Linked DNA regions of Saccharomyces cerevisiae S288C. The gene in region 2 interacts genetically with the main gene of each other region. Each region holds a gene or a part of one and is shown on either strand. Other genes may lie near its edges. The genes, in order: DDI3 and AYT1.

The links.
Region 1: mutations in AYT1 (region 2) and DDI3 together harm fitness more than expected from each alone (negative genetic interaction), as found in Saccharomyces cerevisiae (one large-scale study listed by BioGRID).

The regions. Positions count from the first base shown.
Region 1 is NC_001138.5:7,951-10,992, forward strand, and holds DDI3 (cyanamide hydratase), read left to right. Parts: upstream 1-1,594; coding exon 1,595-2,272; downstream 2,273-3,042. Other genes in the region: SNO3 (putative pyridoxal 5'-phosphate synthase), read right to left, coding at 2,351-3,019. UniProt on the Saccharomyces cerevisiae protein: Cyanamide hydratase involved in the detoxification and/or utilization of cyanamide, a toxic nitrile compound distributed widely in the environment.
Region 2 is NC_001144.5:13,824-17,874, forward strand, and holds AYT1 (acetyltransferase), read right to left. Parts: upstream 2,250-4,051; coding exon 825-2,249; downstream 1-824. Other genes in the region: S-adenosylmethionine-homocysteine S-methyltransferase MHT1, read right to left, coding at 2,816-3,790.

The DNA.
Region 1 (3,042 bases), on a different chromosome or scaffold from region 2:
AAGGGATGTACAGAAGGCTTAGGAAAACCTGTGCTGAATACTGGATGGACACTGCATTCCCACAGTGAAGCTTTTATAGATACACTGCCAGTTATTTTCGAACTTTCATCAAGTTGCTGAGTTTTAGTATCCCTTTGCCTTAGCTATATGTTTGAATGAGCAAAATATTTGCAATGTCTCTAGCTTTCTTGAAATATTGGTTTATATTGAGGGCTTGGTAAGATTTCAAATTTCATTTTGAAGTGCTCAGGAGAAAAATCATGCTCTTTTGATAATTTGGTGACTAAACATACATAAAACAGTTTAATTTTGGGTGGTAATGGCTGTGTGACTAGCTATAGAAAGAAAAAAATTAAAAAAAAAAAAAAAAATCAAGTAGTTCCTGCACTGCGACGTCCATTATAGCATTATAAATTGGTCCCTGATTTACGCATGCGATAAACTATTTTTAGCGCAGCCGCATATTATCCGAGAATAACTTCCGACATAAGAAAATTCGCAGAAAATAGATAAAAAAACTGCTCTTGGCATTCTTCACTTCCTCTATTACACACTGTGTCATACCACAATCATCTCACAGTATGTATTTGTATGTTTATACATGCTATAACGTAAAACAATGTAGAATATATATCTAAATACCTCACGGTTTTAGTTTAGTGCAGCCCACATACTACTTTTTTCCTTTTGTTTTTTTTTTTTATATTTCAAAGGTTAAACTCGCTTAGACTATGTCTATAATATAAAAAAAAAATAGCTCTATTCCGTTTCTTTTATTCTATTTGATATTTCCATCACACTTTCATCTTAATCACGGATGTATACTGATAATAGGGTTGACTGCGCCTGTACGGATTACAGTGCCCTCTTCAATTGGAAAATCCAAGCTTTCAAGATGGGTAACTGTTATTCAAAGGATCCTCTAAGATAAAACACAGATCGACAGATCCGAGAGTTGGCTTCTGTGCCTTGGGCTCAAATTCCTTTCCCACCTCATGCAAATTGATTTTTCTGACTCCAAAAAAAGACAGAGCCCTGCGATAGTTCCCGAATGTTGTAACATCAAAGCCAAGCACTCCTTTATAGAAGTCGCATGAACGTTGAATACTAGCAGCTGGTGAAACTACAGGGTCTAAACTAACTAGTATCCATATCTTTTTGAGAGCATTGAAAGTATACGGAGTACAAGCTGGGTTAGAAGGAATTTTTATCTTAACAGCAATGAAAATCAACTTTCTAGACTGAATCCCTCAAGAAAATTGCAAAAGACTAACTGATACTGGTTTAAAAGAGAAAGATGTCAAATATGCGGAGTTATACCATCAAACAACTTTGGACGGCCCCGAAACAAATGTCCGCAAAAAAGATCTTATTAAAGTGCATGGACACTATCATTTCTATAATACAAAATACTCCACCGCACAATAGTTTGTCGGGAAGTCATCAATCAATCTTGTACGAGCTTTACAAATAACTTTTTAGGATCGGTCCCCTCATAAAATTATATATAAATGGGTTAGTTTCCTTCTTCTTCTGTTAACATGAAGTTGCTTCGTACTGTTTTTTGCCTTGCTTCTCTTCAAAAGAATCAATCATGTCACAGTACGGATTTGTAAGAGTTCCTAGAGAGGTAGAAAAGGCCATTCCAGTGGTGAATGCACCTAGACCACGGGCCGTTGTTCCGCCTCCAAACAGTGAAACTGCTAGGCTTGTTCGGGAATATGCCGCTAAAGAATTGACTGCCCCCGTTCTAAACCACTCTTTGCGTGTTTTTCAATATAGTGTAGCTATCATAAGAGACCAATTTCCAGCATGGGACTTGGATCAGGAAGTTTTGTACGTCACCTGCTTACTTCATGATATTGCAACAACAGATAAGAATATGAGAGCCACGAAGATGTCATTTGAGTATTATGGTGGCATACTTTCAAGGGAGCTTGTATTTAATGCGACAGGTGGAAATCAGGACTATGCAGATGCAGTAACTGAGGCCATCATTCGTCACCAGGATTTGACTGGGACTGGCTACATTACCACCTTGGGGCTCATTCTGCAGATTGCTACTACGCTTGACAATGTCGGATCCAATACCGATCTGATTCATATCGATACAGTTAGTGCCATTAACGAGCAATTTCCAAGACTGCACTGGTTATCATGTTTTGCTACGGTGGTGGACACTGAAAACTCGAGAAAACCGTGGGGCCACACCAGTTCTTTGGGTGATGATTTTTCAAAGAAAGTCATATGCAATACATTTGGGTATAACTAAATAGGTAAGTTTCAATGAGGCGAGTTCAGAATGAACAGTGATGATCTCCTTTCTCCATAACTATACTATACGTCCCTTTTATTTACTGTAGTTTTTAAGAACAAATTCTCTGATGAACCAGTCGTGAAACCGTATATCGTTTTCTGCCAATTCCGGATGAAATGATGTCGCAAGAATATTGTTTTTTTGCTTAGCGGCAACAATTAGTTCTTGACCACCATTATCCTTCCCATCTAATTTGTACAGGACCTGCACATGTTCAGGATCCAGCACCTCTTCTATTACTGGGGCTCTTATAAAAGTAGCAGGAAAATCATTGCAGTGAGGAATAAAGTTTGAAAAGTCGCAAATCCGGGTAGAAGACTGAGCTTGTCTCCCAAATGCATTTCTTTTTACTTTAACCTTTAGTAAATTCAGCGTCTTGACCAGTTTTGCTTCGTTAGATAATTGTTGTGAAATATAAATCAAACCTGCACAAGTACCCCAGGTTACCTTGCTTGGGTTGTGTACGAATGCGTAGAGATCGTCGTAAAATCCTGTTCTTTCTGCAATAAGGGACATTGCAGTCGACTCTCCCCCAGGTATGATCAATGCATCACATTGAGCTAGTTGATTTTTATCCTTCACTGTCATCACAGATAGTTTTTTTTCATAGAAATCCCTGTTTTCGACGATGCATTTTTCTACGTGTCGCACATGTTCAATGAACGCACCCTGTAATGCCAAGACTCCGATAACGACGGTCATTTTTGAGATATTACTCTTGTCTT
Region 2 (4,051 bases):
TTTTTCGGTCAAAAAGAATATCCGAATTTTAGATTTGGACCCTCGTACAGAAGCTTATTGTTAAAGCCCATACTCAGTCTGTTCTAAACGGCTTCCATGGAAGAAAAATAACTATATTATAGCTTTCCTAAAAGTTTAATTAAGAATAGCAGACATGTGTTGGGAGTCGTATATTGTTAGAATCTGTAGTTTTAGGTGTTCTCAGTAAATTCATTGAAACAATTGCGTACTTGTAGGCTTCTGAGAAGCAGATAGTAGTCAAATAGTTGATATCTAAAGAGCTGCCGAAGGGGGTTTCTGTATCCGCGTAAGTAATTTTTTGAAATTTTAATGTGATTTTTGGCGGAATGGTGTGAGTGGTTCACTTCTCATCTTCAATTTCATCGTCTTATATTTCGATAATAAAACAATACAGTGAGCGTTGTTATTAAGTAAATCATAGGCACTTGGTATCATATAATTCAAAATCAAGTAGTTGTAGTAGTGCGTGTGTGCGTGTTAGTAATTGTTGATGGCCTAGTTCATCTCCTTATTGAAAAATGATAAACAGGTGGCAGTTTCAATTGTAGTAAATATTTATTCATTTTTTTATTATTGCTAACGTATCTGAAGGCTACGATGTAACGCAGCTCATCTCTTTTAAACATAAAAGTCATTTGTGTAATGTAGAGATTTACAAAGATTTTAAAAAAATAACAAAACTATACAAAACTATCTATATTTGAATACTTCCTACTATTTTTTTTTTTTTAACTATAATGAATGAATGCATGCCATATTGACTTACGTAACAAGGTGGCCTATTGGTAATATATTACATATCATCATCCTATATGTGTAGCATAATTTGTCCATTCTTTATCCGCATTCAGGCACTCCCAATCTTTATCTCTAAGGCAAAGAGCAACCACCATTTCACCTCTGGAGGATCTAGGCATAAAATATATTAGGCTCTCAAGGGAAATGAAGCGCGGCCGTCGTACACTCTTGGGCTTCCCAAGCCCTAGATTGAAATCAACGTCATACAGGCTGACTTTTGCCCACGAACTGACCATAATTCCAGATAAAGTATCAATTGGTTGAGGTATAGAAACCTTAGTCTTGTCCGGGCATCGGCTAAGGAGCGTAGCAAGTGCGCATGTATTATAGGCCAAATCGAAGACTTTAGGGTCTAGCTTCCTGCGAATCTGTGATGCAAGAACGCCCAAACTTTTATGATCCAAGCTTTTCAGGGAACCTGTATTAAAGGTCATGTTGACTAATAACCCTGGATACGTTTCGGGGAGTCCTAGCCGTTTTCTAACATCCACAGCACGCCCTAAATTTGATTTCGTTTCTGGTTTAAGTCGAGATAAACGGGCTCGAGAAACTGATTTCCAGATGAAAGCAGTGACGATATCATCAGTGGAGACAAATTTTGTGCCAGAAGTACATGTCTGCATTGCCAAAATCCTCAGATTCTGCAATGAGATAGCAGAAAATTCAACATAAGCCCAAGTAGAGTTCGAAGAACAAGACTGTTCCTTTTCCTCTCCACTTGTATTTCTAGAGGTTTCCACTATTTCATGAACTAGCGTGGTGTCGGGTTCCCAAGTTTCATCAAACAAAGGAATAGATTTGCTTTTATCTATATTTCCAATGAGCAGTTCTTCATCAGAGAAAGGTTTTTGGTGGCAAGATTTATTGAGCAAGTTGATGATACTTTCCTGTCCTGTTATATCCATAATATTGTGCTGCCCGACAATAGTTAAGACGAGGCCGCCGGAGATAAAGTTTGCTTGAACTGCAAATACAGGCCCACTCTTGGCGGCCATACCTATAGTGTTTCCAGGTGGATTGATAGTCATGCAAGGCGCAAAAGTCTTTTCGTCTAACATGTAGATAGGAAAGTCAGCTTTTTCAAGCGAATCCATTGTTGGGGCAGACAGATCTTCTCGAAGATCTTGGACGATAAGTGGAATTTTGTCTGACGGGACAATTCTGTAGGTACCAGTGTTACCTTCGTCAGCACCTTCATTTACGACATTTCCTGCTAGCCACTGGAAATTTTTAGCCAATGTTTCAAGTCCTCTTGTTAAGGTATTTACGATATGGTCATGAGCAGAAGGATCTGGTACACGGTAGATAGAGCATATTTGAGTGTATAGTTTGTATAGCGAAGGTTGTTGTCCCAAAATATCAAGTTGATCGTTTTCTAGCATCTGTACACTTTTTGTACGTTTCTGAGAGATGATCTTGACTCTAAACATCCATCTACCTTCAAAGTGAAATTTATAGTCACGTCCGTCATTATGCACGTCTTAAACATTAAAATCTTGATAAATACACTGTAAAAGCTTTAACGTTATTGGAATAGAAACTCTCATCACTCAGAGACCATCAGTTACCTGCAAAACGTTTCATATTTGTATATAAACCATGAGATTAAGTGGTCTGAAATTATGTATCATTTTTTGCATTCTAGCATGCCACAGCAAGGGGGTACACGTATTTTTTGATGGTGAATAAGATAGAAATGCATACCGTGATACTTCAAGCTGGCACTATCTTTATATCTTCCTCCGTATATAGCACTTGAAGCTCTGTATCTAGAATATCCTCTTTAGTCCGGGACGTGCCTCCAAATACTTACGGATTGGCGAAAAATATGCACTGAAATGTGTGCAAATTAACCAAAATAGGGCAGGCAGTAAAAAGTTCTAATGATTTTTCTATTTGATCAAGATAAAATAACCTTCTGCTGAGGACCGCACATTGACGTATATACACTGCTTTTAGTTTTGTAGATACAAGATATTTGTTAAAAGAAATTGAATTAGGAGTATTTATCTACAGCTGATGCAATTTCGGCGATATCTTTAGGAGACGTTCTACAACAACCGCCAATAATGCGCGCACCATTATCAACGAATTTCTTAACCGTGGTCTCCCAGTCATCCAACTTATTAGTCGGCCGGTGCCATGTCTTCTCTTTGGGATTGTAGATTTCTCCACTGTTTGGGTAAACTAGCAGAGGCATGCCAGGTAGATGCTCGTGCAACATTTTAAGAATTAATGCCGATTGATTGAAACTGACACAGTTAACTCCCATTAATAAGAGATTCTTGTTAATTTTATTTCCGAGGCCTTTTATATGGACAGAAATTTCTTCCAAAGTGGTACCGTCTCGTAGCAAACTATTGTCATCCACCGACAACCCAATATAAAAGGGCTTCGAAATAATATCTTCATCCCAGGATAAAATAGCCTTTAACTCATGAAAATTTGGAATCGTTTCAAAACCAATAAGATCAATATCTCTATTTTGGTTGAAGTTCTCCAGCTGGGGTTTGAAAAAGCCGTAGTAATCAATATTCTCAGGATGGGGACCATAGTCACCAGTATATTCACAGGATACATGTGCTGCCCATGGGCCAATACTCCCGATTAAGTACCTTTCCTCACCAATAAATTCACGAGTAAATGACACGATTTTATCGAGAAAACGCTTGTAAGCAGCCAGAGTTTTAATCGAGGTATTCTCAGATATGCTTTGAAAGTTTGCCTGGTAAGTAATTGTCATTAATATGTTTGCGCCAGCAATCATAAAGTCTCTGTACATTTCTTCTACCACCTTTCGCTCTTGAGAAGATGGCTCCCAAAAGGATTCGCTCGTAAAAGGAGCTGCAGACCATACCGGACTATTTATGTTAATGCCTCTGTTTTCCAATTCTGTACCCTGTCCACCATCAAGGATAAGAACTTTTCCGGGGTGCTCAACTATTAGTTCTTTGATTGGAATGCGCTTCATCTGTTTTTTGATTACTTTTTCAAGTTGCACACTAAAAGTTGCTGATTCAGATTTCTTCTACAACTTGTCTGTTTAAATTATCTTCCTTAGTAGTACATTTTCAAATTGGCGTTGTTGCTGTTTTGCTATTACCATTGAATACCTCGCCACAATTTGGTAGTACTTTCATGCCACAGTTTTTACTTTTCCACAGTTCCTGCAGGAATGGCTTTTTTTCATTAACTTTTTGCGGGGATAGCGAAGAGATGCCAGGAAATAAAT